3 linked regions of the Schizosaccharomyces pombe genome follow. The gene in region 1 interacts genetically with each later gene. Each region holds a gene or a part of one and is shown in the gene's direction. Other genes may lie near its edges.

Evidence for each region.
Region 2: mutations in cds1 (region 1) and cdc27 impair growth when combined (synthetic growth defect), as found in Schizosaccharomyces pombe (3 studies listed by BioGRID, with this or other methods).
Region 3: mutations in cds1 (region 1) and dcd1 are lethal when combined (synthetic lethality), as found in Schizosaccharomyces pombe (2 studies listed by BioGRID, with this or other methods).

What each region holds. Positions count from the first base shown.
Region 1 is NC_003421.2:739,627-743,463, reverse strand, and holds the start of cds1 (replication checkpoint kinase cds1), read left to right. Parts: upstream 1-2,125; 5' UTR 2,126-2,233; coding exon 2,234-2,491; exon of another isoform or gene 2,492-2,582; coding exon 2,583-2,631; exon of another isoform or gene 2,632-2,698; coding exon 2,699-2,730; exon of another isoform or gene 2,731-2,775; coding exon 2,776-2,860; exon of another isoform or gene 2,861-2,928; coding exon 2,929-3,188; intron 3,189-3,253; coding exon 3,254-3,463; intron 3,464-3,501; coding exon 3,502-3,710; exon of another isoform or gene 3,711-3,782; coding exon 3,783-3,837. Other genes in the region: ribosome biogenesis protein Urb1, read right to left, coding at 1-387, 430-460; cab5 (dephospho-CoA kinase), read right to left, coding at 961-1,634, 1,683-1,719. UniProt on the Schizosaccharomyces pombe protein: Has a role in the DNA replication-monitoring S/G2 checkpoint system. It is responsible for blocking mitosis in the S phase.
Region 2 is NC_003423.3:1,061,549-1,065,385, reverse strand, and holds cdc27 (DNA polymerase delta subunit Cdc27), read left to right. Parts: upstream 1-1,961; 5' UTR 1,962-2,008; coding exon 2,009-2,062; intron 2,063-2,111; coding exon 2,112-2,167; intron 2,168-2,223; coding exon 2,224-2,390; exon of another isoform or gene 2,391-2,444; coding exon 2,445-2,512; exon of another isoform or gene 2,513-2,568; coding exon 2,569-2,676; exon of another isoform or gene 2,677-2,750; coding exon 2,751-3,416; 3' UTR 3,417-3,668; downstream 3,669-3,837. Other genes in the region: fol1 (dihydropteroate synthase), read right to left, coding at 1-1,186; pre-rRNA processing protein Esf1, read left to right, coding at 3,816-3,837.
Region 3 is NC_003423.3:3,458,720-3,462,319, reverse strand, and holds the start of dcd1 (deoxycytidylate deaminase), read left to right. Parts: upstream 1-2,000; 5' UTR 2,001-2,085; coding exon 2,086-2,405; exon of another isoform or gene 2,406-2,553; intron 2,554-2,597; coding exon 2,598-3,086; intron 3,087-3,125; coding exon 3,126-3,178; intron 3,179-3,215; coding exon 3,216-3,322; 3' UTR 3,323-3,463; coding exon of another isoform or gene 3,464-3,600. Other genes in the region: protein Csi1, read right to left, coding at 1-880; histidine--tRNA (His) ligase Hrs1, read right to left, coding at 3,464-3,600.

The sequences.
Region 1 (3,837 bases):
GTGTACCAAGCCTAAGGAATGTAATGAAAAGAAGTAGTAAAGAGGACCGCTTTTTTGATATAGTGATTTTGAGACGCTTATTTCCTTTCCTAGAATTTTGAATTTGATTAGGTAGCTGGAGCATCTTTATAAAAATTTTACTGTTCCAGTCAATAGCTTGGAATACACGAACACATGCCAATCCATTATTCCAAGATGCCATTTTTTGAAGTAGAGAAAGCGTATGCAAAGGAGAATTGGATGTCAAATTCCGATATATCTGCTTCAAATGATGATCTAAAATTGCATCAATATAACGAAGGGCAGATTTATCGAACTCAACGGTCTTTAAAACTTTTTCCACATGAGCAGGATGCTCTAATAAAACCCTGCTCAATTCATCTATCTCTACATGGAGTTAGCATAATTGTAATGACTAAATTGACTCACCCTTATCCAAATCAATAGATCCAGATTCCATTTTGCCAGAAAATTGGCTACTGAACACTTACTGACAAGGTGTTCAAGTGATGGTGGATGCGAACATGTAAATTGTAAATACGTGAACAAATATATCAATCAAAAAATTAGCTAACCCAACGAAACTAACAAAAAAAATTTAATTATTCTTTGACATAAATATAAGTCACGCATTGTAGCAAAGATTGATTAATACAAGTTCAATACCCAAGTATACAGACAATGAAAGAAGGAACGCAATCGATTTCTTATTTAAAACCCAGAAATCTAAGCGAGAACCTCTACATTAATCATTATTGTAGTGTTCAGCTATTTGTATGCGCATGAAAAGATTTAATTTCTCATTTCAAATCATGATAAAACATATACTCGTGAATTTATATAGAAAGCTCGAGGCAAGATATTGAGATAAGTTATGAAAATGATCTAATTATAAGCAAAAACATTAAGACTATTGGCTTAAATAACAAACGAGGAAATTAAAGAATATGGAAAAAAGGATTATATATGTTTTCTGAATTCAGATACCTTTTTCTTCTGCGAGACAAAGGCAATAACTTGTAAAGTTATTTGCAATGGCGGTAGAATTAAACATAGTAAGGTAAAAAAATAGGAAGGTGTGATTAAAGGTAGGACATTATGTATGTTTTCATATAAGGTCTCAAGATCCGAATTATTTTCTATTACAATGTCCGCAAGCTGACACTTAAGTTCAAGAGGCATCTGCGCTTGTACTCGGTTTTCAGCATCCTCTGCAGTAAGCTCAGGATTACGTGCCAGCAAACGTTGCTTTTGAATGCTTTTATCGCAAGACACGCAGATCGTTTTCCAGCAAATAAATTGCATTTTAGCTTCAAAAAGCAAAGGAACGTCCAAAATAACTATGCTGTAACCCCGTACGTAACATCGAAGCAGTTCTTTGAGCATTTCCAAACGTACTGCTGGATGTATTATTGAATTCAAAAGTGACCTCTTTCCTGCGTCTTGAAATACTGCCTGGCCAAGCTTTGCTCGATTCAAAGTGCCATCTTCATGTAATACTTCATTACCGAACTCTTTCTGAATTTTTATTAAGCAAGGTGTATTCGGTTCTACCACCTTTCTAGCTAACACATCAGCATCGATAATTTTTATATGATATTTCTCTTGAAACTCGCGAGAAACTGTAGATTTCCCTTAACTAGGTTAACCACTATTAAACCAATTGTTATTTGATAACTTACCCGTGGCAATTGAGCCGGTTAAACCAAGAATCAGCATTATATTTCTTATTCCTTGCTTTGGTATAGAAGATTTTTGAATAATGGTAACAATTAAGGAGATCAGAAAACTATTTAATGCCGTAGAACAAAGTCTTCAATCGCGGAAGTCGAAGTTTGAAATACAAAGGAATGTTGACAGATGGCAACCTTCACGTATACCAAAAAAATATAAATAGGGATTACTACTACTTAACAATTAACATTTAATCCTCACTACGTATAACGTACAGTAAAGTAGGTGGATGAAACATTGTTTATATTACTCGTGCTTCGCGAAAAATCTGGTATTGCAACAGTTCGTTATTATTGTCTTATGATACATTTTATATCGTAAAATTTATAACGATGTTTAAAGCGAAGTCAGTAAATCATAAGCCCTCGTCTGACATGATAACTGCTTCTTTGGTCTTTTTACTTCTGTTAAAAGCTTGATCACTCATTTGCACGTTTATTTGTGTTTACTGATATACATGGTTAAAGAATTCATCCAGTTTTTCTGTTTTTAAGATACTATGGAAGAACCAGAAGAAGCTACGCAGGCTACTCAAGAGGCACCACTACATGTTAGTCAGAACATAGCCAAACAGGTGGTTAACAACGAAAATGTATTTATGAAATTGGTTATGACTCGCATGCTTGATGGTAAGACAGAAGTGATTCCTCTTACTACAGATGTGCACAATGGGTTTTGGAGATTTGGACGTCATAAATCTTGTGAAGTGGTTTTAAACGGACCTAGAGTTAGCAACTTTCATTTTGAAATCTATCAGGTATATAAAATAATAGTGGCCAGCTGAACTCGTTTAGTTTTAATTGAACTTCAATCTCTTTAAGACATAATTATCTAACGAAATGACCCAGGGGCATAGAAATGATTCCGATGAATCTGAGAATGTCGTTTTTTTACACGGTAAGTCTAAAGGATTAAAAAATCTTTTAAAGTCTTCTGCCTCTTCCACCTTTTCTAACAATTTCAGACCACTCTTCTAATGGAACATTTCTGAATTTTGTAAGCGAGAGCTTAATTCGTTTACAATTTACTGACGTCATTTAGGAACGGCTTGCCAAGAATAGTAGAACTATCTTGTCAAACGGAGATGAAATTCGAATTGGCCTAGGTGTGCCGAAAGATGAAATTTGTACGTCCTTTACACTGAAGGAGATTGTTGACGTAGAATTCACTTCAAGTTTGCTTACAGTCTTATAGCTTTTTTGTGCCAGGTACCAGTTAAACATTCACGAGATTCCCAGAAAAACATGATTAAATCCGAGAACAGTCATTACGAAATTATTCGTACACTTGGAAGTGGTACATTTGCAGTTGTCAAGCTAGCGGTAGAAGTGAATAGTGGCAAGTGGTATGCTATTAAAATTATCAACAAACGAAAAATCCTTTTGACAAGTTCGGAAAAGCGAGCTACTGAAATGTTTCAACGAGAAATTGATATATTAAAATCTTTGCACCATGTGAGTATCATTTTATGTTCACCTTTTTTTATACGAAAAACTCCTAGCTAACACTTATCTTTTAGCCAGGAGTTGTACAATGCCATGAAATTTTTGAAAATGATGACGAGTTATTTATTGTTATGGAATATGTTGAGGGTGGGGATCTTATGGATTTTTTAATTGCTAATGGCTCCATCGACGAACAAGACTGTAAACCTCTTCTCAAACAACTTTTAGAAACGCTTTTACATTTGCACAAGCAGGGTGTGACACATAGAGACATAAAACCCGAGGTATATCTTGTTTATTGATAAGAAAGTCTAACTTGTAGAACATTCTTATAACAAATGATTTCCATCTTAAAATATCTGATTTTGGCTTGGCTAAAGTTATTCATGGGACGGGAACCTTTTTAGAAACATTTTGCGGGACAATGGGTTATCTAGCACCGGAAGTTTTGAAGTCAAAAAACGTCAACTTGGACGGAGGTTATGATGATAAAGTTGATATATGGAGTTTGGGATGTGTTTTATATGTGATGTAAGTTTGTCGGCTTTAATCAATTAGCAATGAACCTTCATGCCTTAATTTTTTCCAATTACTAATTCACAGGCTTACTGCGTCTATTCCTTTTGCATCTTCGTCACAAGCAAAATGTATTGAGTTG
Region 2 (3,837 bases), on another chromosome or scaffold:
CGTACAAGACAATATCGAGATCTATACACCTTGGTCCTTTTAAAATTGTTTTGATTCGACCCATTTCTTGTTCAATGGATTGACAAGCTCTTAAAAGATTGATAGGCGACATTCTGGTTTCAATTTTGCAAACACCGTTCAAAAAAGAAGGTTGGTCTTTATAATACATCGGCTCTGTTTCGTACAAAGGGGAAACATCCAACACACGAATACCCTCTATTTTATGCAACATAGATAATGCTGTTTGGATTTGCTCAAATTTGTCACCAATATTTGAACCAAAAGACAAATAAGCAATTTTGTTCTTAGTGGATTCGTATTTATGCAGAGACTCTTGTAAAAAGTACGACCGTGTTCGATAAATTTGCACCGCAGAAGCATTGGCGAATGTGATAGCACTAGGTTTCTCAGCTTTAATGCTTATATCGTCTAGATTCTTTGTAAAACAAAGATACTTTGAAAGATTGACAACCAAAGCTTCTATAGTCAGGAAAGCAGATTGTTCGACATATTCGGCGATTGCGCGCGCGATCTCTAAAGCTTCGACCTCCGTATTTGCAAATGATATATTTAAGCAAACTCTTTGCTTCTCTTGTCGTTCAAATGCGTGAATTCCTAATATCGTAGCTAACTCCAAATCCGAGAATTCAATACGATCTACAAAGTTACTGGTAGAATTGCGTTCGCGCTCAGCATAATAGTGCAATCCATTTTTAGACCTTAAAACACATTTGGGTAAAGTAAGCTTAATAGAAACATGCGAGGTATCAATAACGTCTTCAAAACATAAACTTGCAATTTTATTGACCAAATCTTTAGGGGTTGTAAAAAAAGACCCTTCAATTTCTTTTCGTAATAGCTTAGAAGCTATACCGTAATGAATCGTTGATTTTAACTCGTCTTTTTCTCCAGCTAACTGAACATTGTTTCTCATATATACATCAATTTGCACTGGCTGAGGTTCCTTTCTTTTCCATTGGTCTTGACCCACTACAGCAAATGTGTTAAGATTTTCAACTACGACAGTGTCATGTATCAAGTCCATTTGTCTAGTAGGATGTCGTAGAGATGAGAAGCGGAGTTGTCTGGGGATAGTGCTGACTATTCTAGGTATTTTGGCAAAACCATGGAGAGAATTATTTCTAATGAATGGATAGATTCCCCAAAGGTTTACTAAACTTTTCATGAGAGTTTAAAGAATTGATTATCTATATTGGAAGTATTTGCTGAAGCGACCAACACCATGATAAGTAAGAATAAGCAATACCTACGGTATCCTGATGTCAATTATCTAAAATGAAGGCATATGGGATAAAGAATTGTAGCATTATTTGACTGTTATTAAATTTAATTCATTATTGAATACAGCTGGGAATATGTATATACTCTGATCATTTCTATGGAGCATAGAGCGATACTGAGAAATAATATTATAAGAGATTTGTCAGATGACTACATTAATGTGCTACAAATCATTATACCCGAAAATAGAAATAAGGGAGAATCAAGTTTGATTAAATATAAAACATTCCAACAACTTTGTGAAACTCAACCTTACGCTATCAGCTTAAAAGCAGAAGGAAATTAGTAGAGAAAAAAAATCAAATTGCCATGTTCAAAATTAATAAAATTTGAAAAACATTCTACTAAAAAATGCCGTAAATTACTAAATCAATTTCTGTCAGCGTTGATGAAGTAACTTCCCATTCAATTTTAAATCTTTCATTAGCATACTTCTATGAACTGGATAGCAGCAGTAATTGAACATGCGATGTCAATATTTAGATTTTAAATATTTTACATATTGTAAATGTAGTTAAGCATGTATACTCCATTAATGAAAATGTAATCTTTCATACATATTTCGTCTGCGCTGGCTTCAGTACTTAGCCTACCTTAGGATTGTTCCCACTAATTTTCAATTTCGTTGATTTTACACACTGCTTCTTATTCTCGTAAATACCACTTTCCTAAGGAATACTTAGCGGAAAAAGAAATTTCTAAAAAAATGGAGGAATGGAGAAACTTCTTAGATATTAAAGTTATCAATGAATCTTCACTTGTAAGATATGAAATTTCAACAAGAATTTGAATGTCTAACTGTATAAAAGGTAACTGTAGATAATTTAAGTCTGCAATTGGATATATCCAGTGAAAAAGCACAAGAGTAAGGAACAATACGCATTATTTTTTATTTTTATTATTAATAATTCATACTTTCAGATATCTTAATATGTTTTATCAAGGCAACGATTTTTTGTATCCTATATACCTTATTCATGGACAACCTATAGATGATGAAATTAATTTGGAAATTGACGAGGAATCTCAACCTATATCTAATTTTCCTGTTTTGCAATACATTTTGTGTGATAAGTCTTCTCTACAAGGTTTGTTATTGTCAATTCCGATCATTCGATAGCAGATTCGCTAACTATTTGTAGAGAAACAAAGTAGATTGAAAAGTGGGTATAAAACTGTTATATTTGCTCTTTCATCTGCTCCATTAAGTGTAAGTATTCGATAAGCTGTATTTTATATTGTTACAAACTAATTGATTTAATTAAGGATTTTGACGAATTATTACCTGCAGTATATGAAATAAGAGAGAAAGATGTTTTATACAAAAAAGAAGATGCTGATAAGTATGGATTTATTTTCAATGAAAATTCCGTGGTAAGTAATTTATATCACAACAATCGTTGTTTGACATTCGATCCTTCCGTCTTCGGAAGACTAACTTATTGTAGCCTCGTGTTTTGAAAAAGGCACCTTCAACTCATTCCCCCCAATTATCTGTTCCCTCAAAGACATCGACAATCGATAAGACTGACACACGTAGTACAGAAAAGACTAAAGGGAAAGATATTTTCAGTAATGCAAGGAACCAAAAGGGAAACTCATCTCGTAAAAATAAAAAAGCTCCTCTTGAAAATCATAAAGAAAAGGAGCCTCTCTTGCCAAAGGAGGAGAAGTTGTCTGAGCAAGCAAAGAGAGAGCGCGATGATCTGAAAAATATTATGCAGCTAGAAGATGAATCAGTATCTACCACTAGCGTTCACGATTCTGAAGATGATAATTTAGATTCTAATAATTTCCAATTGGAAATTGGTACCGAAGCAAAATCTGCTGCACCTGACGAACCTCAGGAAATTATCAAATCCGTATCCGGTGGAAAGAGACGTGGGAAAAGAAAAGTTAAAAAGTACGCGACAACGAAAGATGAAGAAGGATTCTTGGTTACTAAGGAAGAAGAAGTCTGGGAATCATTTTCTGAAGATGAAAACATCTCAACTGGTACTTCAAATGTTGTTAGAAACAAACCGACTACTGTAAACATTGCAACTAAGAAGAAGAATACTGCACAAAGTAAACCACAACAAAAGTCTATTATGTCCTTTTTTGGAAAGAAATAAGTTACTATTCATTTTCGATAGTATTAAAACATGTGTTCACGAAGTCCCTTCAATTCTCATGCAAGCTATTATCAGGAGTTTTATTCATATAGAAAAACTGTTAATGTTAGTACAACCTTTAATCCTAATCTACTGTTTTTAGTTTTGTTTACACTATTCACAACCAACTATGTAAGTCTAAGAGAAGTCGAAATCAATTATCAATACATCTTTTAATTTTAAATATCATAAATAAATATGTTTCCTCAAAGCATAGAAGAATCGATTCTTTTTTTTATTAGAAGTATTAAATACTCCATACATTAATGAACCACAATGCGTTAATGTGCGTTAACTACAACACATAATTTGAAAGTTGAACTTCATATTTAGTCAAAGCCTTGTATATTGGAAGTAGTCATGGGCAAAAAGCAGACGAAGC
Region 3 (3,600 bases), on another chromosome or scaffold:
CTTCATGGATATCATCTGAATCTTCTAAGTTTTGAATTAAACCCCTTTCAGTGTTCATTGAAGCTCCTGGGTATGCATGATCGGTTTTTTTATTACTATTCGGACTATTCGACTGTCTCCCCCAATTCTTTTTTGCTCTTGCTGAACTTGAAACAAAAGACCGGTGCTGTTGGACTGGACTTTTAACGTTAGATGGTGGAGCAAAAGATGGGCTAAGACTAACTGAACGCTCACAATGAGAAATCCTTTCCTGCAGGCTTTGTAAATTTTCTTCAATACTTTTTAAACGCTCAACAAGGATGGAAAATTCAGGGTTCGTAAGCGAAGACTCATCATAACGATTATTGTGCGCTTTATTGTTGCTATCTTTCGAAATCGCTTTTAAGTTTGCTTCAAGGGAATTGAAATGAGAATCAGATAAGCTAGTAACACCTTCTAGCGATCTAGGAGCCGAATGAGATTTCGCGTCAGATTTTGGAGGTACAAATCGAAATCGCGGAGGGGGAGCGCTTGCAGGTGTTAAGTATGCCATGTCAAAAGAGTGATCTTGATTTAAATCTACCAATGGCTTAATTCGATCCTCATCTGAGATACGAATTTTAGATGCACTTAAGTGAGTAAAATTTTGTGATTGTGTACCAGCATTAGGTATTGACTCTTCATCTTTTTTTTGATCATTTAAAATATTTTTTCTTCGCTTAGGTGATAGGGAAGGCTCCTTCGATGGCCGTCGCTTTCGCTTTGAGGGTGAGTGATTCTTAACCACTGACTCACTAATTTGACCTTGTTGGCTTCGCTCCCATTCCAAATAATCGTTTTTTGTATCATTCCATAATTTCTTTAATTTTCCCAGCAGTCCAGCTGCAGGATTGAAACTCATCTCATGCCCAAATTATTTGGTGATTTAAATTCTAAATTCTTTGCAAACTGACTTCAATAATTATAGGAGTTACAAGATCGTGATTAACAATAATTTGCAACCAAAGGGTTATTAAACCTCAGGAAACTTGACAAAATTACGATCTTACCGAGCTCTACAGTACGGTCGTGAGTATTACCTAGTACACGTTAATGGCTTAATGCTTATTATGTAGTCTGTAATTAGCTTTAATGATACGTTAAATCACCAACAATCATCACTTATGTTGCTGTGAGCTCGATTATTAATTAAGTTGGTACGTGAAGTTAACCTTCTAACTTACTACTGAAGCTGCTCATAACTCAACCTCTTCCTCAGTCCAGTTGAGTTCTGTAGTGTTTTAATTTCCCGAAAACAAAAAAATTTTCCAATATCATTAAATAGGATGTTGAGAAAAAGAATATGTGCCACATATAAATATCATTGTTGAATTGCTGACTTGACAATTAATGCTAGGCCTACGATGCAATAGTAATCTAACCGTAAACATAATTTTACGAACGATTAGTATGTAATTACTGGACTTTTAGAAGAATTCTGAATATTCGCACATAAAAAATATTATTCGACAGATTCCATCGTTTCACATGAGTTTACATGAAATGCGCTCATTATCAAATTTGATGTGATGAACATTAATTAGATAAAAATGGTTTCATTGTTAGTTGAATGCGTTTGTTCCGAGTTTCTCCTTAACAATATACAGTTAATGATCTTATTGTTGTTGCTGTTGAAGTACACAGCACTTAAGTACAACTTTTGAGTGCTCTAAACTTTAGCGTGACCAGCAAAAGAGAGGTCAATACACTTAAAACCAAAAACGACTTTATTCGAATTCACTAAAAGGATTTTTTAGATTCTTGGTCCAGTACAGTGAAACGTAAAATCTGAAATATTCAAGGATTCGTGAAGATTTGGAAGCAAATAGTTTTTAATCTCATTAAATATATATTTTATTTTTTAAAAAGATTACAGATTATAGAAGCATAGTTTTACGAAATTGAAAGTTAGCATTTTCGCAACTCGTTGTTGGTATTGATAGTTAGTATCATTAGGTATGTGAGTACGTTAAAACCGATCTATCTCTAACTATTTGGGGAGATAATCAAACTGAAATACGTTTCTTAAGCTTAAGTAGCTTTGTTTGATTTATTAAGCAAATAAATATGCCAACTGTTGGTCTTACAGGGCCATTATGTAGTGGAAAAGATGCCGTTGTTGAATACCTTGAGACAAAGCATGGTTTCAATGCTATTTTTCGATTACCACAACTAAACGAGGATGGAGAATATATATATAGAACTGGCGATTTAGTCCTTGGCAGCGTTGACGATCTTATTAGCTATCTCACTCCAAGATGGCGCGAAAGATTTGTAATTAATGGAATTCATAGTCCACGTTTGTTAAGTGCATTGCTCAAACGTCCGTTCTTTTTGCTTGTATATATTGATGCCCCAATTATGCTCAGGTTCAATCGCTACAAAACGTATGTAATATTGCAATGTCAACATGTTGTTGCTAACTTTAAATTCATTGTCATTATTCTTCACGCAATGTGTTCAGTGTAAGGACCTTAATATCTTGTTAGTTTCATTCATTTCATGCTCGAAATTACACGGTTACATAAGCTCCTCATGATTAACTGAATATTGCGTGAAATAATAATGATGACATATAGTTATTCTTCTCTTGCGAATACCACACTTGAAGAATTTTGTAGTATCCAAGACGCGGCTGCATTTCAATCTGATAATGCTGGAACTCGACACCGAGCATTGGCTAATTTACTTATAAATAATGATAGCAATATTAAACTTCATCTATGGGAGAAGCTTCAAAAAGCCGATCTTTTGAATCCCAATAGATTTCGCCCATCATGGGATTCGTACTTTATGGAAATGGCAAGTCTGGCTGCGAAGCGTAGCAATTGTATGAAACGTCGCGTCGGTTGCGTACTTGTGCGAGGAAATCGTGTTATTGCGACAGGCTACAATGGAACACCTAGAGGAGCCACTAACTGTAATGAAGGCGGATGTCCACGTTGCAATTCTGCTTCTTCCTGTGGAAAAGAACTTGATACCTGTCTTTGTCTTCATGCCGAAGAAAACGCTCTTTTAGAGGCTGGCCGTGAACGCGTTGGAAACAATGCAATATTATACTGTGATACGTATGTAAATATAGACATAAAGCTACTAACAGTCGAAAGATGTCCCTGTCTTACGTGTTCTGTCAAGATTACTCAGCTTGGGATTAAAGAAGGTATGTTTCAGTTCTTTAATCTTTTACTAATGCTCAGTTGTCTATCATACGTCTTACAACATGGACTCCCATACCGCTTCTCTCCTTCAAGCCGCAGGAGTTCAATTACGACAATATATTCCTCCGGAAAACAGCATTTTCTAAGTTAATAACAGAACTTACTTTTTAGATTACCGCTCTTTTTGATTGCAGAAAATACGATTTTAATATCTTTATTTAATACTTACAATATTGATGAGATAACAATCAAATAATACAATAATTATTATTGAGCTATAGGAATATTTAATCGTATTTAAGTAACTTTTTCAAAACTGATACCATTTCCTCACGTGGCACAAGCTGACCTTCATCGCTATTTTCTTTTAAACCCATTTGTTTAATACGAACAGATCCCTTTGCAAACTCATCTTGACCCAAAA